2 linked regions of the Alligator mississippiensis genome follow. The protein of the gene in region 1 binds, or shares a complex with, the protein of each later gene. Links are inferred from orthologs where the notes say so. Each region holds a gene or a part of one and is shown on either strand. Other genes may lie near its edges.

Evidence for each region.
Region 2: the proteins of CSF3R (region 1) and CSF3 are in contact, whole or in part, in a crystal structure (PDB 2D9Q), measured with the Homo sapiens proteins. The link is inferred for Alligator mississippiensis from reciprocal best matches to the Homo sapiens genes CSF3R and CSF3. Residues at the interface, in NP_000751.1 of Homo sapiens: Arg164, Arg190, Lys191, Leu193, Leu194, Leu195, Tyr196, Gln197, Asp220, Met222, His261, Ile262, Asn263, Arg311, Pro313, Leu314; in NP_000750.1 of Homo sapiens: Ser42, Leu45, Lys46, Glu49, Gln50, Arg52, Lys53, Leu141, Asp142, Asp145, Thr148, Thr149, Gln152.

The regions. Positions count from the first base shown.
Region 1 is NC_081829.1:272,757-288,953, forward strand, and holds the start of CSF3R (granulocyte colony-stimulating factor receptor), read right to left. Parts: upstream 7,889-16,197; 5' UTR 7,562-7,888; intron 6,613-7,561; 5' UTR 6,563-6,612; coding exon 6,520-6,562; intron 5,777-6,519; coding exon 5,408-5,776; intron 4,906-5,407; coding exon 4,782-4,905; intron 4,241-4,781; coding exon 4,059-4,240; intron 3,658-4,058; coding exon 3,509-3,657; intron 2,932-3,508; coding exon 2,778-2,931; intron 2,644-2,777; coding exon 2,561-2,643; intron 2,474-2,560; coding exon 2,260-2,473; intron 1,686-2,259; coding exon 1,497-1,685; intron 1,130-1,496; coding exon 1,028-1,129; intron 643-1,027; coding exon 496-642; intron 158-495; coding exon 17-157; intron 1-16. UniProt on the Homo sapiens protein: Receptor for granulocyte colony-stimulating factor (CSF3), essential for granulocytic maturation. Plays a crucial role in the proliferation, differentiation and survival of cells along the neutrophilic lineage.
Region 2 is NC_081827.1:164,821,633-164,837,607, forward strand, and holds the start of CSF3 (granulocyte colony-stimulating factor), read right to left. Parts: upstream 6,736-15,975; 5' UTR 1,251-6,735; coding exon 978-1,250; intron 1-977. Other genes in the region: PSMD3 (26S proteasome non-ATPase regulatory subunit 3), read right to left, coding at 14,388-14,465, 14,809-14,859. UniProt on the Homo sapiens protein: Granulocyte/macrophage colony-stimulating factors are cytokines that act in hematopoiesis by controlling the production, differentiation, and function of 2 related white cell populations of the blood, the granulocytes and the monocytes-macrophages.

The sequences.
Region 1 (16,197 bases):
AGAGCCCCAGCCTCACCCAGTGCTGTGGTCGTGAGCATGAGGATGGTGCCGTTGGTGCTGCCTGCCACGGTGGAAGCCATGATGTGCACTTTATATGTGGTGGAAGGCTTCAGGGGTCTGATGGTGAAGGCCTGGACATCAGAGTCCACGACGGCACCTGAGGAAGCCAGGGCAGGGTCAGCTCCCTCACTCGTTTGCTGCCGCCCTTGGCCTGGGCATCAGCCCCTAGCAGCCGACACAGCCTGGGCACAGAGCTCTCTGCAGCCTGGCGCTGGCTGGAACCAATCCCACCCTGCGCCAGCCACAGCCCAGCGGAGACCCTGCTGTCTTCCTCTGCCCTTGAGTTTCTGAACGCCATGCTGCCCTGCGCCTCGGCCAGGAGACAATGGCTAGGGCTAAAGACATAGGCTGACTGGGGAGGTGGGTGCGTGGCCCAGTGCTGCAGAGTGGGGGCTGGAAGCCGGCAGTGCCGGGGCTGGGGCGGGCAGGACTTACTGGACATGTTGGAAGAGGTGCTGGCCCAGAAGATGGTGTAATTGGTGATGAAGCCGTTCTGCAGCTCCGTGGGCACTGGTTGCCAGCTGAGCTCAGCCTGGTACTTGCTGATGCTCCTAAGGTGCAGTTTTGGGGTGCACGAGGGAGCTGGAGTGGGGGGACAGGCACAGTCAAGGTCAGCTGCAGTCAGAGGCTCCCCCAGGCTGCCCCATGTAGATGCCAGGCAAGTGCTGACCAGAGGGCGAGGAGGAGCATGAAGGCCTGAAGGGTGCTGGAGCCCAGGCCCCTTCGCAGTGCGCAAGGGGACCCTTAACTCCAGCTGGCCCCAGCGCCTTTGCTCTTCAGCACCTGCCCTACTACTGGGCCAGGCCCCCGGGCTGCGGGGTCTGCTGTTCAGCTGGATTTAACTCCACCTGCTGAATGGGAGGCTGCAGGCTCCACCCCAGAGGTGGCTGCATCCAGGCCATGGTGCCCGGTATGAACCCCGAGCTGGCAGGGCCATTTGGGACGGGAACCCTGGCAGGATACATACCCTTCTGCTGGGAGTAGGTTGCTGTGTGTCGTGGCACCCCCACGGCATCCACGTACAGAGGGTACACAGTGATGTTGTACCGTCGGAAGGGCTCGATGCCATCTACAAGGGAAAGGGACAGTGGGGGCTGTTCGCATGGCAGGGCATTGCTACCCAGGCCTCTTCCCCACCCGCCCCCAGCAGTGACGGCTGGCGTGCCCAGCACCACGGTTGCTCGGGCCTGGCTCAGCATGTGTCCACCTCCCAGCGTGCACCTGGGACCTGACGCGGCGCCGAGGGGCGGACATCAGGGCAGGAGCCCTGTGAGTCCACAGCAAGCCCTGCAGCACATGCGCCCCCACAGCCCCGAGGGAAGGAGCCGTGGGGCAGGTGAGCGGAGAACAGAGGGCAGAAGAAGGACCCCCAGCAGCCCAGGCCCAGAGCTGGAGCTTGGAGCCGTGGACGGGGCCAGCCCCGCCCAGCCACTCACCTTGGATCAGGGCCCCGGTTGCACTGTGGTTGTGCTCCACCTGCCAGCCGAGACGGCCACCGGGCTCCGCGGGGGGCACGTTGCGCCACTCGAGCACGTAGCCGTTGGTGGGGGCTGCGGGCGCCTCCCACTGCACCCACAGGCTGTGCTGGTCGCGGGGGGTGGCCCAGAGCCCACGCAGGGGCTGTCCTGCCAACGGCACCGCGGGGCACGGTCAGGCTGGGTGTCACGGCTGCAGCCTGGGGTGTGGGGTGCAGGGCTCGGGGGGGGGGAGGAGGGGCCCGGACCTGTGTGCCCTGCACTCAGAAAAGGCAAAGGGAGCAGGCTGGGAGCCCCCACAGGGAAGCCCAGGTGCTCCCTGGGCGGGGGCATTGCTCTGGTTCCTGGGCCAGGTGCCCAGGGCTGGACATCCTTGGCCTGGCTGAAGCCCAGGGGAAGGTGCCCAGCCATAACTTCGGCTGGCACGAGCCAGTGTCGCTGTGCCGGACCACTCCCATCAGCACCAGCGTGGACCTGGCCCTGCAGCTGAATCGTTGAAAAGGCACCTCCGGGCCAAAGCGCGGGCAGGGGCTCCTCCCCGATCCAGTCTGCTGCGCTACAGCCCGGGGGGCTTCCTGGGCCCTGCCCAGCTGTGGGGGCCTCCGGGAAGACAGAGACCTGCCTGGCCAGGCTGGGGGCCACCGGCCTTCTGGGCTGGGCAGTGGGGGTGGGGGGCTCTGCCCCCGTGGGCAGGCGGGAGCTGCCAGGCCGTGGCGGTGCCTACCTCTCCTCTCCAGGAAGATGACCTCGGTGGGGGGCCCCTTGCCGGCGGCATTGTAGGCTGCCAGGTAGACGCTGCGCACGCCAGGCGGCACAGAGAAGTTGCACCCCATCTCTGTTGTGTTGCAGACAGTGGTCGGCACCCCGCCCCTCTGCTGCGGGCTCAGCGCCACCCAGTACCCCAGGATCCTGCCGTTTGCCTCCTGCCATGCCAGGGCCTGGGGGCAGACAGGGGCTGCATTCAGAGGTGTGGGGTGAGGGCTCCTTGGACCACAGCCCCATGGCCACGGCCACCCTGACCTTACCTTCCACAGCAGCTGCACCTTGGCTCGCTGCCGGGAGCCTGACGGTGTCACCTGCCACCAGGCGTCCAGTTTCCCTGCAGGGGCTGGGGGAAGAGGAGAGGAGGGGGGCTTTTGGCTTGGGTCTCCTGCCCTGCCCCAGCACCCCTGCCTCACTCCCACCCTCAGCCTGGCTCTGGCCCTGGCCTCTCTGCCCACCTAGGGCCATGGCAGCACTCACCTTTCTCGTGGGTGGTGAAGCCCTGCTCCGTGCTCCACTCACTCCAGTAGCTGGGGAACGCCCTGCGCCGGCAGCGCATCTGCAGGCGGTACGGCATCCCGAAGAGCAGGCCGCAGTGCTGCACCTTCTGGTTGGAGCTGATGATGCCGGAGACCTGGCACCATCACAGCCAAGGCACTGTCACCTCCCTGCAGGGCCACGGGTGCCCTTCCCTTGCACGCCAACCCCCCTGGCCCTATTCTGGGCAGTCTCTGGTGCTGGGGGGCTTCGCACCCTTGGGAGAGAGGGGAGGTCAGGGCCACGGACGCAGCGGACCAAGCCCTGGAAGTCCAGCAGACATGGAGATCTCGCCCTGTGCCAGCGAGCTGTCCCCAGTGTCCTGTCCACAAAGGGACCTGGGATGCAGTGACTGGGGGTGGCACTGGGCTGCAGAGCCCGTGCACAGACTAGTGCGGCAGGCCCCCAGTGAGGGCACTGGCTGTGACACCCTGGTCTCCCTGCGCTGCCCTGCCCTGCCCTGCCCTGCCCTAACAGCCCATCCGAGCCATACGTGGGCTCCCTGCTTCCTCGATGGGGACCCTGGAGTGCAGAGAGCAGCTCTACAGCCCCAGCGGACACAGAGCAGGAATCTCGACCCTGAGACCAGCCCCCAGAGGCAGGAGGGCCGTGGATCCTCCTTCCCCCCTGCCCCGCAACACAGCCGGCCCCGCTAGCCCGCACGGAGCCCTCACCAGTGTCCAGGCAAGCTCTTTGTCCCTCCGGTAGCGCAGCTCGCACTGCTGCTCGATGTAGGCGCTGCTGCGGGCCACGTCCCAGGCCACGGCCACGCAGTTGGGCTGGAAGGGCTGCACGCTCATCAGGGTGGGGGCGTCCAGCTTGGCTGAGGGCAGGACGGCAGAAGCTGGCACCACTGCTGTCCCTCATGCCGAAGGACAGCCTCTCCCCCACCACTGTGGCTGGGCCCACCCACGTGAGCGCACATGGCACAGGAGCTTCCTGGGCCCCAGGGTGCCAGCACTGCTGGTGGCCAGGCTGTTGGGACCAGTGCCTGCTCTGTGAACATGGGCACGGCCCAAGGCCAAGGACCAGTGGCTGGGGCAGGGATACCTGCTCTGCACCTTGCCCTGCAGACGGCTGCACGCGTGCACTGTGGGCCAGTGGACAGAGGGTCCCTTGGCACAGGGGCCTGGGGCTGGGTCCTGGGCCAAGTGCTGGATTTTAGGGGTCTGGCTTCCGAAGGGCTTGCGCTGACCCTTGTCCCCTGCCCCGCGCTGTGCTCACCCACATCGGTGGGGTCGAGGCACAGGTGCTCCGACTCGGCCGTGCCCAGGGGGTTGCGCACCCACACCCAGAACTCCATGTCCTGGTAGAGCTGCAGGTGCTGGTGCGGCAGGGTGCAGTGGTTCTCCCCTGGCAGCAATGGGCGGCACTCCTGGATGGCCTTTGTGACCACTCTGCAGGTCCTGCCGGGCAACAGACAGGTCAGCGCATGCCAGCGAGGCCGTGGCTCCTCAGATGCTCTGGGTGCCCCCACTAGCAACACGTGGCTCCTGCGCTTCCCTTTTCCCAGCGCCCATGCACCCAGGAGCCTGGCATGGCTGGGGCAGCACTCTCTGAGCGGCGCACACTGGCAGAGCAATCAAGGGGGGCTCTGCAGGGAGTCCAGCAGGGCTGGCTTGGCCACGGGCACCATGCAGATGCTGGCATCGGGGGCTGCACCCGGCAAGGTCTCGTGTGCATGTGGGAGCTCCAGCCCCCTCTGGGATGTGCCTGTCCCCTAGGAGCTCCCACGCTGCCTGCGGCACTGCAGGCGCCAGGGCTGGACTGGGCAACTAACGGGAACCCCTGGGCTGGCAGGGCCGACACCAAAATTCAGCAAACACCCAAATCCTTCCTTCCTGTTGCCCTGCCCCAGCCCTGGCCTGCTCTGCTGCCTCCCTGCCCCTGGGCCCAGTGGCCTGGCCAGGACACCCGTGCCCCTGGCCCACGTCCGCAGTCACTCACTTGCGGCTCTTCAGGATGGTCTCGGTCGGCAGGAGGCTCTCCGCTCCGGGATCCCAGCGACATGTCAGGGACATCTCACGGAGGTTCATCATGCACGTCAGGTTGTGGGGCTTCGAGGGTAGGTCTGCGGGAAGAGCGGGAGGACGGCGCTGTGGGCAGCGTGGGCACCTGTGGGTCTGGGCACCAGCGCTCTGCTAGGGCAGCTGGGCCCATCCCGGCTCTGCCCCCTCCAGCCTGCTGTGCCACCCACTGCCTCTGCCCTTGCTCCAGGTTGGGGCAGTGGCCGCCTTTGCAGAGTGCACCCTGCCCCATCCAGGGGCCCAAGGCGCCGCAGGACCCTGCGCTGTGACTCAGCTGGGCTGTGACGGGAGCTGGGTCTGGCTTCCCCTTTCCAGTGCCCGGGCAGCGAGAGGTCAGGGTCCTGCCCCACAGCAGACAGGCCTCCCTGGGCACCATCCTATCCTGAGCACATCTGCCCAAACCCGCCGCGGGGGGGTGCTGACAGTCCCTGCTCACCCGCCACTGGGGGCTCTGCTAAACCCTATGTGCAAGGTGCCCTGGGGCACAGACGGGGAAGGGCAGGGGGTGTTGGGGGCCAGTGTGATGGCAGGCACAGGTAGACTCACGGCCCGCTTGGATGTCGGCTGTGGCGATGAGCTGGGGCGTCTCTGTCTTCGTCCCTGTCCCCATCCCCGCCAAGTAGCACCGCAGCTTAGCCCTGGTCCAGCTGACGCGGGCGATGGTGAGGTTGGACTCGACTGTCCCATTTGCACTCCAGTACTGGGTCCCGGGCAGGGTCTTGTTGTCCAGCTTCCACATCAGCCGGATGCCCCCCTCCTCCAAGCCTCCGCCAAGGGTCTGGGCTGTGCTTGTCCCCAAGGAGCTCGCATGCCACCCATGGCACAGGGCCTGCTGGACACGGCAGGAGGCCGTGACAGGGGATCCCAGGAGCACCGTGTGGGGCTCCACCCGCACCTCGCCACAGCCCCGTGCTCCTGCGAGGAGAGAATGAGCCTCTGAGTCTGGTCCCTGCTCGGGGGCAGCTCCTGGCCGGCCCTCTGCACTGCAGGCCAGGGCCCAGCATAGCCCGAAGCAGCCACCCGGCTCCAGGCTTCAGTCTTTCCAGTACGCACGGTGCCCCCAACCTGTCCTAGTCCATCTGCTCTCCAGAGAGGGGCCCTGGGCTGGTAAGCCCCCTGCAGTCCTGCATCTCGCTGGGACTTGGGACACAACTGCCACCAGCCTGAGATGCAAGGCTCCTTTGTCTGCATCAGCCACAAACCCACTGAGCTTTCCAGGAGCAGCCAGGGTAGAAGCCCAGGGTGGCTCTGGCTTCGCTCCAAATGGGGCTGTCTGCAGGGGAAGGGGCAAAAGGAGGCTCTGCCATCCGGGTCTTTGTTAGTGCAAGTGCAGGGGTTGCTGCAATAGCTGCAGCCCAGACTAGGGCCCTGCATGGGCATGGGGGGAGGACATGCCGTGGTCTCTGCTTCCCTGCAGGGCTGCATCTGTTCAGTGCAGACAGGGCGTCTGCCACAGGTCTGGGACATGCCGCCCCAATGCAGGAACCGCCAGCTTCTGCCCGGGCACATCACAGCGCACTGCTCCGGTGGGAGGCGCCCCACACGGGCTGGGCTGGGCTGGGCTGCCATCAGGGCCTCTTGCCTGGGAGTGCAGGGAGGGAAAGTCAGGGCTTGGGGGATTCCCCATCCCGGGACCCTGGCATTGCTGTCAGACTCACCACCCAGGAGCAGCAGGACGAGCAGGGAGGATGGCAGCATCATTCCCCTGTCGCTGCGCTCGGCCACGATCTTGTCTGGGGCTTTGGCATCACCTGGGACACACACATGCAAGTGTCACTCTGCAGGCCAGAGCTGGGGTGTGTGTATGTATGTGTGCAAGCTTGTGTGTGCAGATAAACCCTTGCGATACAGTCCCACATGATACACGCTGGGCGCTTAATAAGTATCAGACAAAATATACTGGCTTCCTCAGTCATCAGATCCACCATGGTTGTCCGTGGCTCTCTATAGTGCATGCACACACACGTACACATACACACACACTTCTGCAGGTCCATCAGACCCTCTGTGGCAGCAGGAAGTTCTGTCTGGTACGAGGAGGCACTGGTCTGCAGACTCCCCGTGGGCTCGGGGCACTTGGCTAAAGCCGTGGAAACCTCTCTGCTCTGCTGGGGCGGGGGGGTGGGAAGGGGCTGCCGCCAGCTCTTGCTGCCCCATGCTCCATGCAGGTGCAGCATGCCGGACATTGCATGAACCCCCTGCTGTTCACAGAAAGAGGGACGGGAATGCCACGTCCTCTCGGTGCTGGGGATGTGTTCGCCCACCGCACAGTTCTCCTCCGAGGGAGCCACTGACCCCTGCAGCTGGGGGAGCAAGGACCAGAGCTGCTGGCAATGTTCCTGGGGGGATCACAGGTCCCAGCTGTTCACACCAGGCTGATGCTGCCCTGGTGCCCAGAGAGGGACCACTCCTGCATGGTGCTGGTACCCAGCCAGCGCTAATCTCCAGCTTTGACTCTCTTCTGCGTTTCCCTGCCATCCTGCTCCCGTGGCCCCTGCCCTGCCCTGCCCCATGGCTCCAGCGCTGACTCCCCTGCTGATGGCTGCTGGGATCTCAGCCCTGTCCTGCGCAGGAGGCGATGCTCCACCCAAGCACCTTGCCCATGTCCAGAGGGCTCGGTGCCAGGCCGGCCGGTGCCAACAGCAGCGGGGGCAGCCTCTGGGGCAGCCAGAGTCCAGGCAGCCCTGGCCCATCCCTTACCTCATCTCAGCGCCCGGTGCATGCAGCCCCTAGTGTGCTGCTCGCCCTCAGGACTGGCCCGGGCCCCCGGGAGATCAGTGTCCCGTCCAGGCTCCAGCATGTTGCTTTTGCCGTTAGTTCCTCAAACCCAGTGTCGTTAATTGCTCCGAAGCTCCGAAGAAAAGGTGATTGCAAAACACTTCCCTGAAGGCTGCGTGTGCCCCACGCGCTGGCAGGAAGGAAGGCGCAAAGGCAGCCCACACATCCAGCCCTGGGGAGCAGGCTCCGGTCTCCTCATCCTCCCTGGCCACCCGCCTTTTAAGCAGCTCAGCTTGGCCCAGTGGGGATGGAGCAATAATGAGCTTGTTTGCTGTGACCTTGCTGGAGCCTGTGGGGCTGATCCAGCGCTGGCAGGAGGTGGAGGGGCTGGGGCATGCTCTGAGAGCCCGGGCAGGGCCGGGACCGCTGGGAGGGGCTGAGCACACTGAGGTTTTCTGGGTGCTCTGCTCCCTCTACAAGGCACCCAAGTAGCCCATCGCTGTGGCAGTCTCAGAGGTTTCCTCTTCCACGCAGCTCAAGTCCCCCAGAGCCTGTCGCCTTTTGCCACGTGCGTTCCCCTGAGCTGCGAGGCCAAAGCACTAGCAGCAGCGAGGACCTTTGTGGTGTTCAGGGGCCGGAGCAGGCAGGACGGTCAGGCTCAGTGCCTGTTAGCTGCAGTTGGACGTGGCCCTTGTAGCCCTGCACCAGAAGTTGGTTAAGCTGCTGCTCCAGCGCCCGGTGCTTGTGTGGGGTGCACCAAGGGAAGGTGCATGGGAATGGGGAGGCCCTGCCAGCTCAATCCTACCCTATGTGGGGGCATCAGGCTCCCCCCAGTACCATGCACCCCACTTGCTCCGTGCCAAAGGCCATGCACATGTAGGGGGCACAGTGGCAGGGTCTCCATCAATAGAAGGTGCCTTGGAGTGCCCAGCTGCCAAGATTTTGGCCTGGAGAGGACAGAGCTGCTCTGTGGACTCCATTGCCAGCTGGTTTCTAGGCCCACACAGTGCTGTACCCCACCAGGGTGGACAGACACCCTCCACACCTGCTCTGGGGCTTTGCCAGGGGTCAGCTCCAGGTCCACGCCCATGAGCGTGCCTGCTCCCCCTGCTCAGAGCCCCACAGGACTGAAGCGTCACAGTCCCGTGCGGCTGCAAGACCGAGGCACCAGCGGCTGCGCAGTTGCTGCTGCCCCAAGGCAAACGCGTTCAGAGCTGTTTCTGGGGCTTTGCTGCTTGTGGTGGCCCTGCTTCCCTGCAATCCCAGGGCGTGGGGGCTGCCCCCATCTCTCGCTTACAGCCACGGAGACACCGGCAGAAGCAGAGCTGGGCCAGAGCCTCAGCACTTTGCATAAGGCTGTGCAAATGCCAGCGCCAGCGTGCAGACTGCTCTCAGGCCCTGGTCTGAGCTTGTCCCTGGCCGGGTCGGGGCAGGCTGTGGCTGTGGTTCTGGTTCCCACTGGCTGCTCGTGGCACCAAGCTGGAGCGTGGCTGCCGCAGGCGCTGGGTTGTTTTGCTGTTGCTGGAGCAGCCGCCCAGGCATGCCTCAGCTTCCAGCCTCAGCCCTGATGTGGCAGGAGGCGTCTCCACGGGGCCAGGCCCCGACACCCTCACCCTGCCACGGCTCCCTAGCAGCCCAGGGAGACTTCCAGCCAGGAGGCAAGTTCAGGGAGGTGGGGAGTGCTCTCTGGATCCTGGGCTGACCCTGCCTGACGGGAGGTCAGTGGCCTGCCTGGGCCTGCCACTCTGCGCCCAGCCCCCCGGCCGCCCTGCCTGCAGGCCCGAGTCGTGGGATGCACCAGGATGGGCCTTGGAGCCGTTGTGTCAACAGCAGCTTGCCCAACCCAGAGCCCAGTGGCCTGCGCAATGGCAGCATCTATTGTGCAAACTTCTGTTTACGGCATGTTTACTCGCGTGTTTACTCGCTCCGCTGCACAGCACGTGACTCACAGTTTAGCTGACCCTCTGGCCCGCTGACAGCCCCAGGCCTGCCCCTGCCCCGGGGCCTGCAGGCTGCCCCATGCCATGTCCTGCAAAGCCCTAGCCCTCATCTCATGGTGGAGCCGCCTGCCTCGCTGAGCCCGCTCTGTTTGCCCGGTGTGCGCAGCTCAGTGCCTGCAGCCCCAGCACGGGAACGGGCCCAGCCGGGGTGCGGGCACATAGTTAATGGGAGCAGGGTAAGCAGACATGCACTGGCCATCGCAGATTCAACAGAGTGACTTTACATCCCCTGGGGTCTCCCAGGGTCCCAGCCCTGGCGCAGGCACCTGGCAGGACCTGGCTGGGAAGCATCTGAACCTCTGGCGCAGCCCCGGGGCCAAGGCTGGTGGAGCTCTGCTGCACTGCCATCAGGAAGGATCCCACTGGGTTTCCCCATGGGGCCCGTAGCTACCAGTCGGCCCATGGTATCTGACCCACATCCTGGCGGCAGTGACCACAATGAGCCCTGGCAGCTGTCTGCATGCGGCACCTTCCACCCTCTCGCCTCTCCCATCGCAGGCTGAGCTTGGCCTTGCTCAGCCCCGAGTTCTTCCCTAGGAGAAGCAGCAGTCTCAGGCCCTGGCGAGGGCTGGCCCCCTTCCCGTGGCCCCGGTGGGCGAGCTCCCATGGGCCTGGTGTGACTGGGGGAGCACGCTGCCATCTCATCAGAGCAGCAGAGGTGCAGGGGCAGGAGCCCGAGGGAACAGCTCAGTGGCCACAGGCTGATGTGCAACTGCATCTGCTGCAATGCCACACGCTGCTCTGACCCAGGCCAATGTTAGCACTGGCAGTGGTTATGCCCAGGCTGGGGCAAGGGCAAGGGCAGGGGCAGCAGCCTGGTCTCCCTGGCTACTACCTGCAGTGAGTTGCAGGTCACTCCTGGAGCCCAGGGCTGGTGCAGTAGCTGTGCCTTTATCACCTGTGGGCACTGGGAATGGGGCGGGTGGTAGAGAGAGCCCCTTCCAGGCTGTGCTCTGGCACGCGCAGCTGAGGGCATGCAGGATCTGGGCAGAAGGATGTGCCCTGTGCAGGGGGCTGGTGCAGGGAACTGGCACCACTTTGGTCCCTGGCGCACCCATGGGTCCAGTCCCTGGAGGGATGAGTGGGTGGCCGAGGGCGTGCCAAGAGGAAGGCAGGCACAACGGCCGCTGGGCGAGGAAGGCAGCGCTCTGGGGACAGTGGCAGCCAAGTGACACTGCTTTCTCACCCATCTCCAGCTGGGAGCACAGCTTATTGCCCTGGCCTGAGGATCCCTGGGCCCGAGCCAGCCAGGTCAGGGCCTGGAGCCTCCACTGCTGATCTCGAAAGGAGGGAGTCCAGTGACCCTGCCCCACATCCATGACCTCGGTCCTGGTCTCTGCTCTGCTTCCCTCCAGGTGCCACAGTGCTGCAGGGCCGCAGGTAACAGCAGCTCCCCACCCAGGGGTATCCATTCCCAGGACATTATCGCTCGGCCTGGGTGCTAGACTGGCCAGGCAGCGGAGGGCTGGGCTGCCGGGCACTGCAGCAGCCCTGCTCCTGCCTGCCTCTCGCTGCCTCCTATTTTGGAGCACGCTCCCAGGTCGGAGGGCCCCGGGCTGCAGGGGGAGGCTGTGGCGAGCAGCTGGCACATGGGGGTGGTTTGGGGGCAGGGGGTGCTGCAGCACGGGCACAAGGAGGTCCTAGCTGTGGGGCTGGCCTTGGCCATGGGGCTCTGTGCAAACAGAACAGGGTTGCGCCCCACGCTCTGCTGTTTGCATGCAGGCGGGAGCACCCGGCCAGTCTCTGCGGGGCAGGCGGGCACGCTGCACGTCTCGCTAGGACCCTGCCTGCGCGAGCCCTGGCAGCGCATGGGCACCGTCGGGCATCGTCTCCCTCCCCCTCCCAGGCTGCGCACGGGGCAACTGCCACGTGCAGCCTGGCGCAGAGGCTGGGCCAAGGGGGGCGGGGGGGCGGGTGTGGCGACATCCCCCCGGGTGTGGCAACCCAGAGCCCGTTGCCAAGGAAGTCTGCCCGCTTGCAGCATGTTTACAGCAGGGAGCTGGAGTTCCTGTAACGTGCGTCTCCGTGGGAACCTGCCTGGCGGAAACGTTCAAGGAACAAGCACAGCCGGGCTGTAAACAAGCGGTGCTGCCTGCCCTCCTGCCCCGTCACCCGGCAGCAGCCGGGCGCCCCGGGAAACGCTCGCTGCCCGGTCCCCAGAGCATCGCTGCATCCCCGGGGCTGGCGTGTCCTGGGAGGTGCCCGACCCCACCTGGCTGGGGCGATTGGGGCGTGGGGTGCCGGGGTAGGGCAGATGCTCGTAGCACCTGTGCTTTGCAGGTGTGGGGAGCAGAGCATCTCATGGCTTGCCCTGACAGCCTCCCAGGCCCAGCGAGAGCCGCAGCCCTGGCCCGGCAGCCCCTGCTTCTGCCCCGGTCCCAGCTGGCACTGCCGGCAAGTCCCTGGCAGCTCCTCTCTGCCTCTCCCTCCCGATCCCTCTGGCTTGTAGCTCCCCCATGGCCGCAGCCTGGGCCGTGCAGCCTAGGCCGAGGCAGGCCTGCCCCGCTGGCCCGCACCCAGCCCACGCACAGGAGCGGGGTGCCAGCAGACGGGCTCTCCCGGCTCCCGGTGGCCTGTCCACAGCCCTGGGCTAGCCGACCTCTGCCCTGGGCTCCGGGGCAGAGGCTGCCTTCAGCCGTGTCTGTGCGGGGCTGCAGCGATGCCACGAGCGAGTCATCGCCAGCGTCCGCCCCAGGCTGCGCGGTCACACATGCCCTGCTGCCCAGGGGTTTGCCAGGGCTGCTGCTCTGCTCCTGCTGACCTGCCGCAGGGCCTGGCCGGGCCAGGCTCGGGGCAGCTGGTCATCCCTGCCATCTTGCTTTCCCTGCAGCTCCGTCTGAGCCACTCGCTGGCTCCCCGCACGCCTGCTGGGCATGGCACGTGCTGGGACCAAGGCTGGCCCCATGCAGGGCACCTGGCTCGCAGGGGGAAGGGGGCAGGGGGAGAAGCAGGGCATGGGGGAGGCCCTGGGATGGAGGCACTGTGGGCCTGGGAGAAGCCACTGAGTGCTCCAGGGATGGAGGGGGCCGGGACAGGGCTGAGCCCCGTGCTCAGGGGCCGGGGTGAGAGGGGCCGGCAGTGCCTGGGGCTGCCAGCCCTGCAGAGGGGCAGCGAGAGCAGGTAGGACCCGACCCCGAGCCTGACCCTGACCCAGCCCTGCCCTGGCCGCCAGGCCATGACGCAGCGCGAGCGGGAACAGTGAAAGGGGAAGTGGTGCGGGAGCCCGTGGGCTTTTCCAGAGTTACGAGGCTGGGAACGGGCCCGTGGCGGCCAGCCCTGTGCCCTGCTGCCTGGGGGAGCGTGGCCCGGGGCTGTGGGAGGGCGCACGTAGCAGGCTGTGGCTGCAGTTGCGGGGAAGCCTGCTTGCCCCTTCCCAGAAACGCAGCCCGGTCAGGTCTGCTTACAGAGCCTGCTTCCCCGGCTGCTCCCCCAGGCTTGTCGGCTGCTGAGCCCTCACCTCCGGCCCTGTGGTGGCACGAGTGTCCCCCAGCAATTTAACAAAGGAAAGAAAGGTGGAAGCAGCTCCTGGCTCTCCCGGGCCACGAGCACCCCAGTGCCCAGCACAGCTCAAGGAGGGCTCCTAGGAGCGCCGAGCCAGCCCTGCAGTGCTTCCCAGGGGCCGGCAGGACGGAGGGGCAGCCCCTGGGGTGGGATCTTGCACTGGCATGCTAGGGCTGGCTGCGGGAGTCGCAGCGGTGCCCACCCGGCCTCTTCCATTCCCAGACCCTCTAATCAGGGCCTTTGGGGACGTCTCCACCTGACTCTGGCAGCCTTTGAATGCATCTGGGGAATAGCATAATGGCCCCCTGACATGACCAGTTCACCCCGCACGGGGTCCCAGGCCCTCACCCAGGAAAAGGGGAAGACAGCGTGTGAGAGAGGGAGCTCTGCTGCTGCAGAGCACAGGGCTGTGCCGGCAGCCCCGCGCCCGAGCGGCGCGAGACAGTGCAGGCCATAAAGCAAGCCCAGCTAAGGGCCTGCAGGCAGGACAGGTGGGAAAGGGACTGTGCAGCGACGCTCTTGCTGGAGGGGACTCTCCGGAGCGGGGGTGATCACAGCAGCTCCTGCCCAGCGTGGACAGCTCCCGGGGAAGATGAGCCAGAGTGGCTGTCCCGGGCCCGCGTGGGAAGCGACAGTTACAGAGGGGCTGGGAGCCCTTGGCACCCGCAGGCTCCAGCTGCAGTGGGGGTCCAGCCTCTCTGGGCATGGGAGACCTCCGTCTCTCTTTGCCTCGGTTTCCCCACTTAAAAACAGTGCTTGTGGAGCTGCCTTTCTCCAGGTCTCAGCTTGACTTGTCTGTCTGCACTGCCAGTGCTGCGGGGCAGGGCCCGCTCCCACTCTGTGTCCTTGCTGTGCTCGACTCAGAGGTCCAAACGCAGCAACTAACCACCCCCTCCGTCAGCCCACGTTAAGCTGAGGCCAAAGCTTGGACTGGCCCAGCCTTTATTGTCATGTTGCTTCTTGAAGCCTCAATCACTGCAGCTCCTGTTGTGATACATGCACAACAAAACCCTCTGATTTGCATGGAGATAATTGTGTTCCTTGCATAAGGGAAGATCTTTGTCTGTTCCAATCACGGCGCTGTTTGCAGTTCTTGAGGCAGGAAATGGGTTTGTTTCTTAACACCCAGCGTTATTTGCAAAATATTAGAATTGCAGCCAGTCCCCGTAGAGATGAGAATCACAGAGCGAGGCCAGGAGGCGCTGGCAGCAGAGGTGCTGATCTGCTCCTGTCTGCGGCCGACAGCTGCTAATTCCAGTGTCCGGCATTAGCTGTTTGATAACGTAAGCGCTGCCTCGACTCGGGGCGCAGCCACTCCTTCCCCCCCCGGGCTCTGCAGTGGGAACAGCCCACATGCAAAGGCACAGCAGAAGGAGAGAGCTGATACTGTCTTGAAGGACTTTAGAGGCATAGCTTGAGTGTGAGCCCTACACGTGTGTGCACCCCCTCCTCGTACACGCGTGGACATGCATGTGTGTGCAGATAGCTCTGTGAGAACCCACACCCAAGGTGCACGGCCCAGGCCCTTCAGCCCAGACTGGGCAAAGCATCCCGGGGGGAACCGTGCTTGAGATCCAGGGAGGAGGCCGCCGGACTAGGGCTTCCCTGACCCTGAGGGCTGGGCTGTTTCGTGGGCTGGAGCAGCCGGTCTTCGCCCGCACGGGGCAGTCCCGGGCACTGGTGTGCACCGCTGGCACTGGGCCCTGCTGATGGGCTGATTGGGAGGCTGCGGGCCTGAACCCTCCTGGCTGTGCGCACGTCCCTGCTAGGACACGGCGCCTGTGGCAGGATGGGCCCCGTGGCTGGGGAGCAGAGGGCCTGTGGTCGGGCCTGCCCGGCTCCTGCTGCTGCTGCCCGCTAGATGGCACTGTGTCTCCACCGGTGCCACCAGCCACCCCCCCCCCCCCCAGCTCCCCCCACCCCGTGTCCTGGGTTTGCCCCACGGGCCACGGGGAGGTGGCAGCAGGGCCCGGGCCTGGACGTGAAGGCTGTGATGGAGGCAGAGAGGAGCACCCATGCCAGAGCCTCGACAGGGTGCCCGATGCTGTCTGGCACCAGGCGGGTGCTCCGGGCACAGGGTGGCGTGTCTGCTCTGGGGCGCAGTCATGCCGGCTGGGCCTGCCGCGCCCGGGGGACGCAGGGAGGCTGGGAGCAAGGGCACTGGCTGGGCGGGCAGGAGTCTCTGCGGGCTAAGGACCAGCACCCATACCCGCCCCTCTGCCAGGGAGGTGTTCATCACCTCTGCTGCAGCAAGGATCCCCTTGCCTGGGGCCTTGCCAAGGCTGCATATGTAAATTGAGAGCAAATGGCTTTCTCTGGCCCTGGCATGCTGCTAAAATTAGCAAGGAAAGAGCATTTGTGTTCCTGGTTGCTGAGACCCAGGGCATCCCTCACGGGGGTGACCCCTGCCTGGGTTGGACTCTACTATTCTCTCATCTGGAGCTGTGGCCTGGACAGCCCTAACGAGGCTCGTCAGGAGAAGCACCCTGCCCAGCTGCATTGCCTGGGCAGGTCTGGGGAGCCCGGGCTGTAGATGCGTGGGGGCCGCGGGGAGCAGGGCACCCTTTGCTGGCAGCGACTGTGATGAGTCGCCCAGCACGGTCATGCCCCTTGGCCTCCTCCCTCCATTAGCTGCGATGCCCGCCAGCCCCCGACGCACCTGCCGGCCGCCCCAGTAGCAAAGGCCATGGTGTCCCCCGGAGGGCTGCAGCCCGGCGGAGAGGGGGGGCGGTCTGTGAACTTCATACTTTCCCTAGCTGTGAATTTAAGCATGGCTTGAAAATTGGTGAAAAAGTCTCGAGTTTGTTGTTTTACTAACTTTCATCTGCACATTGGAGCTGCAGCATTGTGGGGAACGGCCTCAAGCCACCACTTGGAAATGGCAGCATCTGTCACGCAGCATCTTAACTGGCATTTTGAGAGTCCGAAAATCTGAGCTGGTTCCTAGTGGCGCAGGAAGCCAGAACCTGCTCCTGCCTAAAACCCGTTGCCCCTTGTTTTCTGGGGCATAATTGAATCTTGTTCTCAGCCGTGATGGTGGCAGTCTGTAATTCAAAGCCTGCTCCGAAATGGCTCGTTGCAGAAGTCGTGTTTCTCTGTTTTTTCCTCCCTGATGAT
Region 2 (15,975 bases), on another chromosome or scaffold:
CGCCAAAAGTCATGGGGAAGAGAGATTAATAATTCCCTCTGCTGAAGATCCTGCTATGCTAAGTGCAGCAGGCAGCTGTGGGGCTGTAGGAAGCAGGGAGGAGAACAAAGGAAAGTTGGATGGTTGCAGTTGGCAGTAGCTGAGCAGACAGCTTTTCCTCCTAAGCAGCTGGGAGGACCTCCAAGCCCTCTGAGCAGATGCTTGTTTGGGATAAGCATTAGCCTGGGTCACCTCCTGGAGGGGAAGGGACTCTTTTATCTCTAATGCTTGGTTTGGGGGAGGAGAAGGTACCTGCTGTCTATTTTAGCAAGGCACTGGAAAGTGGCTGAAGGTTGGTTGATTCCTGGATCAGAAGGTCCCTTGTTAGTGACTCTGCCAGCTAGTGGGAGGGGGAGCTGGTCAGACTTTGTCCCTGGGGGATGATCAGGCCAGCTCTCTGCTGAGTTATCTCCCAGCACAGTTTGTGCCTGCTGCTAATTTCAGTTCCCCCAACACACCCTCTCTCTAGACTTATCAAGAGTTGGGACATAGCTATAGGGAAAGCCCGTCCTATGTAGGATTCTGTCTGTCAATCTGTCCCTAAGCCTGGGGCTGAGATTGTCTGCTGAGGTGAAGCTTTTGGGAGCTGGAATGTCAGAGGGAGGGAACTCCACTTTTGGAGCTGGAGACAAGACAGTGAACTTTGAGTTTCTGCACTTCTCATAGCCAAGTGCTCTCCAGGCTGCTGCTCTAAGGGAAGCAACTACCTGTCGAGGTCACAGCAGCCCCCAGAAACTTGTCACATAAATCCCAGTTGCTAGCAGTGGGTGCATGTCTATCTCCTCATTAGATACCAGCAAGTCCCTGCATCTCTCTGCTCCCACCACTTCTCTTCCTTCAATTCTGGAGACCAATCTCTGGTTACATTTTATCACCTCTACACCAGCAGCCCCTGACTGCTCTTAGCACTTCTCTTCCCAGGTTGTCTAACTACTCACCATGTGCTGCCGCACGGTCTCAACATCCATTTTGATCTTGCGAGTGAATTCCAAGTTCTTCTGCAGAAACAGCTGGAATCCCTGGTCCCCTGAGAACTCCGACAGGGGAGCTGCATGCAGCATGATGTATTTCAAGCACAGCAGGGTGCTCAACAGCAAGGATGGAATAGCTGGAGATGAGGAGAGGAGAGAGAGAAGCAACGTGAGTTGGGTAAGTGCTGAAGAATCCAGAGGTGCAGAATACAGAGATAGAAAAGTGATCTCACTGTTCATTCAGATGAGATCATGTCAGTATGACAGTAACAACAGGCAGCCCCGAAAGAGATTGGACCCAATGTACCAGGTGCTGTACATCTACACAGTAAGAGACAGTCCCCACCCTGAAGAACCTTCAAGGGGAGGTGTTCCCATGTAATATTTCTAACACATTCCTACTCAAGGATCTTAGTTTAACAAAATGCAGTTACATATCAAAGCTCTTTTAGTTAAAATCACATCAGCCAGTTGGTTTAAATCCCCTCTATTTTCTGATGCTCAGAACTCTAAAAGTTTTTTGAGAGTGAAACACCCCTTGCTATGTATATTCAGAAGGTACTTCCTGCCTGCATAAACTGTACATCTCTTAGACTTTTTTTATCCTTACTGGCATAATTTTCCTGATTGTAAATAGAAAAGGAAGGGAGGAGGGGGGAGAAAAAATGTTTTTTAAATCGTAAAAACTATCCAAGCCTCCCCCAGAAGTCAACCCAGGAGTTGCTAGTCCCAAAAATAAACTTACCAGACCCCTTGCATATAGTAAATCCAAGCAGTTTGCAACTAGGAAATGGTGCCTATGATTTCTGTTGCTGTCGGGTGAAGAGCTTATACTTACTTCTCAGAGGATTCATTCTAGTGCCTGAAAGCCTTTTGGTATCTCCTCCCACTTGTTTTATGACGGTGCGCTGGGAAAGGGTGTAAGACAGACGCAGGGCTGCACCAGTCCTTTTTGTTCGTGAATGCTGTGAGACTCCAATTGATTATGATATTTATAGGAGACTCAGGGAATTCACGCTGATGTAATAAGATGAGGCAATTATTACTAATCAGTGAATATGCAAATACATTTTTCTGAAAATAACATATTAGGAATTTTAATTTGTGGGGATCATTTGTTTTTCATTTAGATTTTTCTTTAGCAAAAATTTTGTTATTTTGTAATTCCTCTGGGACAGCCCTGGACTGTTTTGTTTTTTTTTTTTCTTTTTTTTCTTTTTTCTTCTTTTCTTGTAGTGTCTGAGAGTTGCTCCCTCCTTTTGTGTAATTAATCGATTGTTATTGCCCTTTCAGGCCACCCTAAAAAAGCTGCTCCCCAAAATATCAGCCACTTCCTTCATTCCCATCAAAGATTAATTTGGGAGATGAAATGATGTCTCAGAACTGATCAGGGTGTGGTTTGCTTACAAAATCCACTTCCCAATTTCAACTTAAGAGTTCTGACCTAGCAATAAAATGGCACCCAACCAAATAAATGGGACTCAATGGGATGCAGGTGCCTTCTAAGTGTTCCACCTGGCCTTCAGTATGTGTGTTTACTTACTTGCTGATTTAATTCCTGTTTTTTAGATTCTTTTTTATTACTGGGCTTGAATAGTGTCTTTCTTCTCAAGCATCTTAAGAATTAGGGATTTGTTAGTTTAGTGCTATCAGCAGATCATGAAGGAGGAGGTGAAATAACCTTTATGTTGCACTTTCCTTATTGCTTTAAACTCGAGCAGAACCAATGACATTCTTTCCTGCGTCATATGCTGCACCTACAATTACCTTTAGTTACCTGCCATTGTTTCCTGGTATATCTCTCTGCCACAGATTTGGAGGCCTTCACTGTGGCATGCAGGCTGTGGATCTTACTCACTATGAGCACATCCCTATGAAGTAGGTTTGTTATCCACAGACAGAGAAACTGAGGCATGGGACTCTCTAAGGGATAAATTATTTCACATGGCCTATTTGAAGTCCCTTATTATGGGGGCTGTGATTTTCCCACAGTACTATGCACCTGGCTTCTGGAAAATCAGGTCCCTTTAAAACATCTCATTTTGGTCTTCCAAATACTGGAATAATTGCCTGGAATCACAGGCTAAGTGTGTGGCAGCCCTGTTTCACCTCCCACCCTTGTTTGCATAGACAGTGATTTCTGGGGCAGAGGCTGTCTGTTGGTGCAAGTGACTCTCTGGCCCCTTAGACATCAACGTGAGTCTTGCTACTGATCTCACACTCAATTTCACCCTGTGTGGACCTGCTACACCTGGCACACTGCAGCCCTACTCTCAGCTTGGAGTGCTGTCATATGGGTGCCACAGGGAACTGAACCACAGTGTCTGACGTTGCATGCCAGGGCCTTGAACCCCAATCACCCTCTTGTTCTGCTGCTGCTTAGATGGGGATCGGTCTCCCATGGGGAAAGACAGATACTGAAGTGCTCTTCAGCGATGTTACTCATATCACGCAAGAACCTGATGGGCATGATCCAGACTTGACCTCCAAGAGATTGCCCTTGCACCAACAGACAGCAGTGCAATTATTTCCCAAACTGATGGATGTGGATCTGATGTCAGTTTTTCCTACAGCCTCAGGGTAATGATTTTGGCATGCTAATGGGGAAATCTCTACCTGCATTTCCAGGACTGGCTGCTTTTCCTGTACCAGCTGAGTGACTCCCAGAGGGGGAAGGGACCAAATCTTTAGCCTCTGGGATTTACAGAGCAGGGGTGCAAGCACAGCCAACTGGCAGTGACAGCTGAGTCAGTTGGGTTCACTTAAAATGTCTTGGCACAGTTTCTTTAACCACAAGTTCAGGGCACAATCTTCCGAGGAACAAGGAAATGGGATGCTGAGTAAGTAACCTACATCAATGCATAGGAAGTAAAACTCATCTGACAGCATCGTAGCATGAGGATTGAAACTGGGATTATATTGCTGCTGTTCTGGCATGCACCCCTTGCTGTGCGGCAGGACAGGGAATACACTAGGGAGCCAGAAGCCCCGTAACTTTTAATCCCGCTCCAGCACTGACTCCCCTATGCAGTCTTGATCAACTCACTTGACCTTTCCGGGCTATATGGGCTAAGAATATGGGTTCCCTGAACCTCAGTATGCCAAGGAAAGCACCCTCCAGTTCCCATGCTTGTGCTCCACACTTACGTATAAAATATATAGCGGCCCAGAGCATTGGGTGCAGGCTGATTTACACCAGCTGTTGACCTGGCCCTTTCTTTCTAGCCCTGGTAGGGACAAATGAGTGTGGAAAGGGAGGCAAGGTCTGAGACAGCAGCACAATTCTGGGGGAAGGGAGCATAAAAATAGCCTCCATGCTGCTGGCCTGGCCACTGCTACCACTGCCAGCAGCCTGGACTAGATGACTGGATTAGGGGGTAGACTAGATGATCTCATGAGGCCCCTTCCAGCCCTACTTTCTTATGATCTTCAGACTAGCATGGCTGGGGTGATGCAGGTGCTAAGGCAGCCTAGAGGATGCAAGTTCAAGGCCATAGCAGCAGTGCTCATGGTGCTGCCTGTCAGATTTCAATGAAATGAACATGCAAATTTTGTCACAAGGACACAGGAAAGGAAGGTCTGAGACCCTCTTGTGCTAATTCTGTTGGAGATTCTGTCTGCCAAATTATAGCCTAGTGGGCTGGGGGGAAGCTGTGTTGGAAGCCAGGACCCCCATTCTCTGCTCTACTCCCTCTTTTTGATGTCCATTCTTGGGAAGTGGTGGCACCAGTGATGTTCAACAGAATGCAGGTGTTCGTTAGGGACAACTTGCTTTGTTTTTCTGCAGTGATCTGATTAGCATCAGATCTCCAGACCAGCTCAGGAGTGTTCATCTCTCTGCTGAGGACCAGCGGGGCAGCACCACACTGCGTCAGGCTCAAGAGGGTGATGATTTGCAGAGCTTTGGCATGGGGGATTTCACCTCCTGTGAATCTCTAAGCTTCCCTCAGGCCCCAGGTGGCTGGACTCCCTCTCTCCACAGTGCGGCTTTGAGCCATGAGACCTAACAGAGCTTTGAAAAGGAAAAGAAGGATGTTGTGAAATCCTTCCTCTGGCCATTGGACTTCGAAGCTTTTGAAGGTGCGCCCTGAAGCAGCTGCGCAAGTTTCCTTGACACTAAAATGAAAGATCATGTGGGCTGGTTAGGGGAAGGCCAGTGGTGACGCAGAGTCAGGTCGCAGCACTGACCGCTTTCACTATTTGGGGATTTTAAGAAGAAAAAAATGAATCAGTGATGCAAACAGAGCGAGTAAACCCACATGTGCTTTCTGGGGAAGGAACTGCCCACGTACCCAGGAAGGGCATGGATGGTGCAGGGGACACAGGACAGGCATGATCCCAAGGCAAAGGAGAAGCGGAGTTTAGGTCAAGTGTGACCTGTGTGCTGGGTAAGCACAGTCCTTCTCTTGGTGTCACAGCAGGGTTTTAGCTTCTCTGGAAGGAAGACTTCCTGCATCTGTGATGAGGGAACAGATGGTAGGGATGGCTAACAAGGCAATGGGATAAGAGAGACCTTTGAGCCAGGGTCCTTTGCCCCCAAGTGTGAGTGTTGGAAACAATACCCCCGAATCTGTCCCTGCTGACCCACTCATTCTTGTGTGGGCCCAATCTTGTCCTGCGTCTAATCATGCTGGCACCCTTGCTGGAACCATGCTGCCAGCAAACCAGAGCCATGGACCTTTTGGGCACTATTAGTTGTGCTCCAGGGGTGGGGGTGCTTTAATCAGAACAGCTCCAAAAACTACTCTAATTAAAGTACCGCTGTGTTTCCTATATCAGTGTCCCAGCACTTCAAAATGGCAGTGTGGGCACTTGACCTAAAGCTCATTCAATGGGGACGCTGATACAGGAGACCTAGAAGGCAGCTGGAGCTTGGCAATTGCTATACTCCAGTGGCCTTAATTAATCAAGTCTGCTGTGCCGCGCTGGAATTCCAGTGTGTTGGAGCAGCCTCCATGCTCATGTATAGATGCCCTTTGGTACCACCCAACATGGGCACACAGGGCACTCCCATCAGGGTAAGAGGAGGCAGGACCTTGGTTTTACTTCATGTTCTGATCCTGGCAGTACATTTTTGGAGTCTGAGTCTCAGCTGAGTTGTCCCTGGTGATGGGGCATCTGTCTCCCAGATGGATCATTCTGTGTCTAGAGGTCTCATGGATAGGGGAGGTTCCTCATGGCTCCAGCTGAGGTTTACTTTTGTCCTGGGGCCTATGCCTTCTGGGAGAGAGCTAGTCTTTCTGTGACTCCCCCTTGCATGTGGGGTCCTGCAGCTGAGCAGAAATCTTGTGATCTTAACCCAGAAGACAGTAGACATTTGTGTCCTGGGCTGAGGTTGCATGGGAACCTGCAGGCCAAGGTCATCTTGAATCCTCTTCCTTGCTTCTCCTGATTTCCCTTGGTGTAATGGAGGACAGGACTGAGCCCTCTGGGTGGAGATGAGCCTGGTTTAAGAAATCCTGGCTTCTCTCTCAGATTTCCCCATTGGGACAAGGCTCAGCTCTTTCAATTAGCTCCAGGCACTGCCCAATTGCAAGTGGAACTGCATGGCATACCAGGCACTGCATGTAGTGGAGATCACGCTTTGGCAATGCATCTGCATCCAGTTGTCTCAGCACTTGGCTGGGTCTGTCCAAGCCTCTCTGGGAGGGAGAGGAAGCAGGATGTGGTGCTTAGGGCACTAGACTGGAAGCCCAGTATCCCCTTCTTTTCTTTGCCCCCAGCTTCCTGTGTGACCCTGGGCAAATCGCTTGGCCTGTCAGTGCCATCTGTACAGTGAGGATAACAGCAGGGCCACAATGGGGGATGAAGATGATTTGTTGCTCAGGTAGCCCAGGATGCAGCAGCACCCATCACTGGAGTGTCTGGATGTCTCCATGTACAATGGTAACAAACCTTCAGCCCTGAAGATGCCCCTGGGGTATAGTATTCGCCTGCTGGGAGAGCTAATTTGCTTTAAAATGATCCACTAAAATGAAATTCCTTGGTTGGGGGGGATGTTGGGCTAGTTGCTTACATGCCTACAGTATGTATTGTAGACCCCCAGTCCCTGCCTGAGAGATCAACCTCGGCCTGCTCTGGGGACCTGCTGTGCAGCCCAGAGCAATGCTTGGCAGCCATCCTGTCTGTAGGTCTGGGTGGTAGAGGTGAGTTTGGAGCAATTCCATGCCCTGTGCCTTCTCTCTGTTTCTTGGCCTTGTCTCTGTGGGTTGGGGGCAGTGGGGTTGTGGAGGAGCTTCAGAAGTCTCTGAGCCCTGAGGTGTCGCAAGGCCTGTGCTGCTGCAAAACCCCAGCCTGTGAATCCCTCTAGCTTCTCCATCACTCCCCTGCCTGTATTGCTTTTGCCTCTGCCCTCAGCCAGAGCATTTTTCTTTGGTTAGACTTTGCTTGGGGCATGTCAGGCACCTCTTGGTCCGCTCCGTGCATTTAACCACCAGCCCAACTGCCCAGGACACTTCCCTGCCAGGGAAGACTTGTTCTACCAGTGCAAAATACAATAGGGTAGAGGGGGAGACCTTGTCCTCCTGGTGGCTGTGGCCCATATTGCACCTAATCAGGCACCTGATTCTTGCTGCTTGTTTTTTCCCTATTTGCAGCTCACTGAAACTTTACTGGGAAGACTTTTTCCGGATCCTCCAGCCTTTGCACAGAAAGGAGCAGCTTCCTATGCAGTTCAGTAAGGTCAAGTGCAAAGTCCTGCACTTAGGACAAAGCAATCCCATGCACCAGTACAGTTTGGGGACCAGCTGGCTAAACAGCAGCTCTGCAGAATAGGACCTGGGAGTTACAGTAGACAATAAGCTGCATATGAGTCGATACTGTGCCTTTTTTGTAAAGAAGGCTAATGGTATACTGGGCTGCATTAGTAGGAGCCTTGCCATCATATTGAAGGAAGTGATTATTCCCCTCTATTTGGCACTGGTGAGGCTACATCTGGAGTAGTGTGTCCAGTTTTGGGCCCCCAATGACAGAAAGGATGTGGACAAAATGGAGAGAGTCCAGTAGAGGGCAGTGAAAATGTTAGGGGGCTGGGGCACATGACTTATGAGAAGCTGAGGGAATTGGGCTCATTTATTCTAGAGAAGGGTGGGGTGGGGGTTTCGTAGCAGCCTTCAGCTACTGAAAGGGTGGTGCCAAAGAGGATGGAGTGAGACTGTTCTCAGTGGTGGCAGATGACAGAACAAGGAGCAACAGTCTCAAGTTGCAGCAAGGGAAGTTTAGGTTAGATATTTTTAAAAACCCCAAACTTTCTCACTAGGAAGTAAAGAACAGGTTACCCAGAGAGGTTGTCAAATCTCCATCCTTAGACGTTTTTAAGACCTGGCTAAACAGTCTTGGCTGGGATGATCTGGTTGGGGATGGTCCTGCTTTGAGCAGGGGCTTGGACTAGATGTCCACCTGACATCCCTTCCAACTCCAATTTTCTCTGAGTCTATGATTCTATGAGGATACTGGAGTATCTGGAGATATTTTGGGGCCCTTAGGCTAACCCAGGTCCTGTTTCCAGTGTATGGGACCAGATAGGGTGTCAGAAGAATGCAGAGGCATTATTAGGCAGTTCTACACTCTGGGCAGCACATGGGCTGGTGCCCCTGGTTGCCCCCCCGACCTCCCATTACTGGGAGACTTGGGTGCTAGTCCCAGCTCTGCCACTTACCTGCCCTGTGACCCTAAGAATGACCTTTCCTTTCCTCGTGCCTCAAATTCCCCTATAAAAATGAGGATGACAGTCTTGGTGCATGTTTCTGCAGGGTTGTGTGTGGGTGGGCAGTAGGAGACAAGAGCCCAAGACTGGCTACCCTGGGGGACCCCTCTGTGCTCACCACAGTAGTGAGAGACTCTCATATGAAGTTCAGACCTAGAGTGGATGCACAGACCAGCCTTCACAGATCAGGGCTGGAGTTAGGAGCTTGCAGCACACTGGGAGTTTGACACCTATCTCCCTTAGGCTCCCCAAAACATTATCTAGTGGGTTTACTGACCGCCCTCCCGATCCCCAGGACTCCAGCTCTGGTCTGAATGCAGTGGGCTTTATGAATGATAGAGTCATTGTTTGTCAGTGCTGCTTCATACTGGAGTCTCCATGTGCACAGAAGAGGCTAAGTCAGCTGCTTGGATTCCTGTAACAACTCCAGCAAAGTGGCGGCTTTCCTGGAACGGCTGCCTGGGAAGGTGTGGGGCTCACACCCCATTCCAGGACAGGCAGAGGACACAGATTCTGACCTCACGTTCTTGCCATTGTCTTTGTGTACACAACACTTCAACCTGGTGAGTAATTCTTCCCTGTCTTTTGTTCTTCAATCTCTTCATAGCCCGAGGAGCAAGCGGGGCTTTTTTGGTGTGTTTGAAATAGGAAGTTCCATTTCAGTGAAGCAGCATAACTGTTTCCTAACCTTGCCCTGGTATTTCACCACCCAGGTTTTCCGGTTTGCTGCCTGCCTCCAACACACCTGAGAACACAGTACAGCTCGGGGCAGCTTGGCAGAGAATGACTTGCCACCAACCTTATCTGGTGAAGAGTTGCAGCCTTGGAAAGGTGTGTGTGTGTGTGTGTGTGTGGGGCCAGGGGAGCTATGGGCTGCCACCAAGGGGCATCTGCTGAGGTGTCTGTGAAGGGAGCTCAGGGCTGGACGAGCAGGTGGAGGGGAGCTGAGTTAGGTTGGAAATAGCTTTCCCAGCCTCTGGAACGGTTTAAGAATTGAAATGATTTCCTGTTCTGCTTTACAGTAAAACCATGTACGTGTGTGTGTGTGTACATGCATGCATATGCATAAGCTAACCAGCCCCTGGGGATCAGGGCTCTCGCCTGCGAGGTGGGAGACTCAGATTCAAGTCAGTCTTCCACGTGGCAGGGGTGCAGGCTGCTTACCAGGCTGTTGGATTTTCTGGAGTGGATCTCACTTTTGGTCTGTCTTCTTGGAACTGTTCCACCCTGTACGTCCATGTCCTGGTCCCTTCACTCAACAGGAGGATTTTGCCTTGGCACCGAGAACTTGGCCTCAGTGTAGTGGAGTTTGCCAGAAGATGATGATGCAGAGGGGCATTCACTAGTGAGGTGGCTCCCTCTAGCGGCACCATTTGGTAAGCGCACACCACAGGAGACCGAGATGGGACCAGGCTCCTGCCTCTCAAGGAGCTGGGCCCACTAAGGACATTAAAGCAAAGAGTGACCCATGCAGCAAGTAGGTGAGCTGATTACTCCCATGGACAGCAGCTCAGCACAAAGGCAGGCAGGAGCAGGGGACTTTGGCTGTGGTCTGTATCAGGCGAACAGGGCCCTGACTTGCATACAGCAGAGCCTATGCAAGGTTGCCATTCCAGTTGTCACAGTCCTACAGAGGCCTCATGCTGATCCCAGATGTCACCTGTCCTCAGCATCACTGGTACCTGGATCTGCTGGCAGGTGCAATTTTTAGGATCAAGTGCTGGGAGAACAGCACATGCAGCTGTTCCCAGTTGCTCCTTTCACTCATTTTCCCTACCCTTAGCCTCCCTCCCTCTTCTATTAGATTAGTAGTTCTCAACCTCAGGAGACCCCCTCCCACCCCAAAAATACCAGCTCTTAGTTTTCACTTGTTTTTTGACTACAGAAAAGTAATAGAACAATTCTTCTGTTGCAAGCAACTCAGAAAGCCCACAGCAGGGCAGAATGGATTTAACACTATGGGTTCCTACTGGAAATCTCTGGGTTTTATCTTGTGACTTCATAGAATCATAGAAGTAGGGTCAGAAGGGACCTTGTAGATCTTCAAGTCTGACCCCCTGCCTGGGCAGGAGGAAAACTGGGCTCAAATGACTCCAGCCAGGTAGGCATCGAGCCTCTTAAAGACCCCCAGGGTAGGAGCCAGCACCACTTCCCTTGGAAGTTGGTTCCAGATCCTAGTTGCCCTAGCTGTGAAGTAGTTCTTACAGATGTCTAATCTAAACCTACTCTCCAACAACTTGAGGCCGTTATTCCTTGTTATCCCGGGGGGCGCTAGGGGAAACAAGGTCTCCCCCAAACCCTTCTGGTCCCCCCTAGTGAGTTTATAGATGGTCACCAGGTCCCCCCTCAGCCTTCTCTTGTGAAGGCTGAACAGGTTCAGGTCCTGTAGCCTCTCATTGTAGGGTCTGCCCTGCTGTCCCCGGATCACGCAGGTGGCCCTCCTCTGGACCCTCTCAATGTTGTCCACATCCCTCTTGAAGTGGGGTGCCCAGAACTGGACACAGTACTCCAGCTGCGGCCTGACCAGTGTCACGTAGAGGGGGGAGGATCACCTTCTTGGCCCTACTTGAGATGCACTTGTGGATGCACGATAGGGTCTGGTTGGCCCTGCCGACTGTGACCTCGCATTGTCGGCCCATGTTCATCTTGGAGTCAGTGATGACTCCAAGATCCCTTTCTGCCTCTGCACTCTCAAGAAGGGAGTTTCCCATCTTATAAGTGTGCTGCTGGTTACTACTGCCCAAGTGCAGCACCCTGCACTTGTCAGTATTGAAACGCATCCTGTTTTTGTTAGCCCACCCCTGCAACCTATCCAGGTCTTTCTGCAGTCTTTCCCTCCTTACTAATGTGCCCACCTCACCCCAAATTTTGGTATCAGCAAATTTGAACAGGTTGCTTTTCACCCCGTCATCCAAATCGCTGATAAAGAAATTGAACAGTGCGGGCCCAAGGACCGAGCCTGGGGGACTCTGCTGCCCACTTCCCCCCAGGTCGAGTATGACCCATCTACCACCACCCTCTGAGTACAACCCTTCAGCCAATTTGCAATCCATCTGACTGTGTAGGCATTGCCTTGCCTTTAGGTGAGAGGTGAAGCCCATCCCACCCCAGCAAGTCCCTTGCCCGAAAGCATGGGTCATTATCTAGGAACCCAAGGCCCGCCTGGTGACACCTCTGTAAGTGCTGGTTGACCTTGCCAATGCAGGCCTCGTGTCGCCGTCCCCACCTACTCACCGGAAGAAGAGGAGAATACCACCTGTGCCCCAATCTCCTTAAGCTTGGCCCCCAGAGCCTCCAAGTCCTTCATAATGCAGTCAGGGTTGCCCCTGGCCGCGTCATTTGTTCCCACGTGGATGACAACCATGGGGTATTGGTCTGCAGGTCGGATATAGGCCAACTTGTTTGCACACCTAACAGTTTGCAGACCTGCAGCACCCTGGCTGAGAATCATTGTAGTAGATTATGTAGCTTAGAGGCAGGGACTCCTTACATTTTGGGTCAGCACTGCCTTGTTCATGCTTGGCTCCTAGATGAAGGTCTGTTTAGTTGAGAGAAAAGGTAACTATAAGTGGACATGGAAGCTGTTTTCAGTTCTTTGAAAGGCTACCAGAGACATATTGACCTCCCTTGCTCCAGAGGGCAGGGCATGAAGTTGTGGCTTTAAACCTCAGCAGAAATCTCAGAGAAGCCTTGCTAATATGAAGAGAAGCAGGACAATGGAACAAACAGCCTAGGGAAAACACGGACTCTTCACCAGAGGCTTCCAAAAGGAGGCCAAATCTGCCTTTCTCTGGGATGGGTTGGGAGGAGTAACTCCTGCAGCTGTGAAGGTTTAGCTGGAAGAGCCTTGGGGTCCCATTCCACTTTGCAATTGTAGACACTACCATAACAGCAGTAAGGAACTAACTCCTGCGTCTGACAGAGTAGATTGTTGCCTATGAAAGCACATGCCCATCTGACCCAGTTAGTCTTGAAGGTACCACTGTGCCCTGCCTTTCTGGGTCTCTTCTAAACTTATGGATCCTACTTACCTTCCTGCGCCATTGCTGTCAACAGATGGCAAGGTAGTGTGATCATCTGCAATGGGACAGAAACAGTGTAGGCAGCCTTTGCTGAAGGGTGTTGTGGCTTTTGAGTTGCTGATTAGATATTAAATATGTGTTTGTCCTGGTCCAGGGCAGACTACAATACACTCATTTCTTCTCTCACTGCGTACTGGTATTTAAAATTATGATGCTGGTTCCCTGGGTCCAGCTTTATGGTGCCATCTGCTGTTGCATGCAGAAATGACACTGGAGTGCTGGGAAACAACCCTTGGTTGTATTGGGATAGTACTTCCTCTAGCCTGGATCTGGACATACCCCTTGCACTTATGGAGCTGAACAAGGTAAGGCAGGACCTTCTAGCTGAGTGGGGTTGACCCACACTACTCAGCTCAGATATGCTAAATAAAGTGAGCAGAGGCAGGCTATGCAAGCAGATCTGTCTATAGTTAACAGGAAGCCTCAAGGTACCTAGTCAGCTACTGAGCAGCTTCTCAGGGCACACATTGTAGCCCTCCAGTTGTTCAGCAGTGCAGAGACAGTTTTGGGTCTATTGCACATAGAGATTTGGGTCCCATGCCTAATGGCCTGTAGATACAGCTAGCATTTCATATACCCATGAAGAAAGCAGCATCAGTGCCCTTGGTGGCAGAGAAAGCCTGCAGGAAGGATCAGGGTCCTTCACTATCCTCTGACACAGGACTCCAGGCATGGTTCCCTGGCCTGTGTTATGCAGGTCAGGGTAGAAGATTGGTGTAGGCCTCTCTAGCCTTCAAATTCGTGAATAAAGACAAGGATACATTGGTCTAACCCAATGTATTTAAGAAACAGACAAAGGTGTTGATTTGAATATTCTTTTGTCTGCGGGAAAAAAGGTTCCTCTAATTCTACCCATGAAGCCCTGCATGGGGCTGCCTCAGCCATTACAGCAATGACAAAGGAGAGCAAGGACCACAAGAGCAGCTCTCAGGAAGGTTTGTCCTCGTCTAAAATCATATTGATCCTGCCCTAGGATGCCAGTGCCCTAGAACTACCTCAGTCCCACACTGTGAAACAGTAGTAGCCCCCCACCACTCCACGAAACACAAAATGCACATAGGCTGCTGGGAATTTTTTTTTCCCAACTTTTATTTTAAAAGTCATAATTGAAGCTTAACAAAGTCTTATCCCATTGTTATTCTGAGCTGTGGCTCTGCCATGGGCCCTGTGCTGTTAGAACCACCACCCACCTGGTGGCAGGTCCCATGGACACGCATCCAGAGGCAGCCAAGAGGTTTGGTGACCAAGTTTGCCATGTTGAATTCATTAACCCCTTGTGTGCCTTCTGCAGCAAGTGCAGTAATGACACCAACCATAAGCAACCTTAAAATAAGTTTGTTTTTACTGGGAATAAGGAGGGACCCCCTTCATTGCAATACTTGTGGGTGATGGTGGTAAGGGAGCAGTTCCCTCTGAAGTAGCCAGAGGGTGCTGCAGAACCCGGGCATGTCCCCTCCCACCCCCCCAATACATACATGCAGGTATTTATAAAAGAAAGGCAGATTCTGGATTGGAGCCACCCTATGATGGTTTCTATCAGACAGGACGTTCCCTATGGACAAATAAAAAAAAGCACTGCCACTCAGAGCATCATGGGAAACCGTCATCATCGTCCTCTGCCATTTCCTTTGCAAATTCTAGATCCTGCTGCTCGCGCTCCCGGCGCTCCTAGAAAACAGAAGCAGGACTCACTGGCTGCAATCAGGGGTTCAGAGAGAGACTGTCAAATGCTTGCATATCAGTGCCCAAAGGTGACTGGTGGGCCACCCATAAATGGGTTTGGAATAAGCCCCCCCAGGGAATGGAAGGCCAAATGGGGCATACCCAGGGTGCGCACAGGCAAGGTTGGAGGCTTTGCTCTGCTGACTTAGCCCTAGGCAGGCATGGCTCTGGTTTGCAGTCAAGTGGCACTTCCAGGAAGAGTGGCTAAAAGAGGAGCTTTAAGCATCCATAAACTAGTGGGACCAGCACTGCTCAGAGCCAGAAGCCAAGAAACCCAATGAGCTCTCACCTCTGCAGACTCCAAGTCCTTGTTGTATGATTTAGGTGGGAACCTCATGGCCTGGAAACACAAAGGACATGGGTCAGTGAACAGGACAAGGTTACTGAACCAGATCTGCTTCAGCTGGGCAAGGGACACAGGGAAGATACACAAAGCCTGCAGCTTTTGGGCTCTGACTAGAAGAGGCAGCAGATGTTTCCAAGCATATACAGTAGCCAGGGGGCATGCCCCATGCTCCTTCAGCTGCAGACCAATAGGCAAGGTTATAACCCAGGCAGGTAGGTTGTGGGTAGCCATATAATCCATTAACATACCAGCTGGAGAGCTGCTTCCAGGCTCTCTCTCTCAGGCCAGTGATGCTCTGGAGATAGTCAGAAAAGGGAACATTTTTGTAGCTCGGTACTTTGCTGGGCAATTCTTAGCACAGTATCCAGAGTGACCCAAATGCTCACAGCATCTGGAATTAGGGGGCTGCAAGATTTGCTGATCTCAGGAAATTTCAGGTGAGGCCTTCACAGCACTTTAGAAGCGCTGTGGACACAATCCTTGCTTTCCAAACCTACCCCCTGCCTTCCACACTCATCCACTCTTTGCCCAGAGTTGGGAATGGAACCAAGGTGTCTTGGGTCCTCGACCCCTGTCCTAACAATCCAAGTGCAGTGCAGTAGTAGGCTGAGTAATGAAGGGGTATATTTAAACAGGAGAACCTCAGGAAGACCCTGAGGGGCAGATAAAGCCCTTTGGACTGATACCTCTGCAGGCTGCTGGTTAGCGGGGAAGGTGGCACCAGAGAAGTGGAGAACAAGAGAGAAGCCATCTCATTCTCCCAGACGGGCTGGGAACCTAACAGCAGGTGCTTCTCAACAATCAAGGCTGATTCACTGCTGCAGAATTAGAAAGGGCCTCTCAGGCCTTTGAGCCCAATCTCCTGTGCTCACACACAGCAACATCATAGGATCCCCTTCTTGAATAGGTCAAGCTACACTTTAACACCAGGTGGGTTTTTTTGCCCCCCTCTAATCCCACGGCGGGGAAGAGGAGCTGAGCTGCATAGCTCAGTCAGTAGGGCAGTTGGCTATGAATTAAAAAGACCCAAGTTTGATCCCAAGTGAGGGCAGTGAGCTTCCACTCATTGTTTCCATTTCTAGTGCAGCTAAGACCCATCCAGCCTCCTAT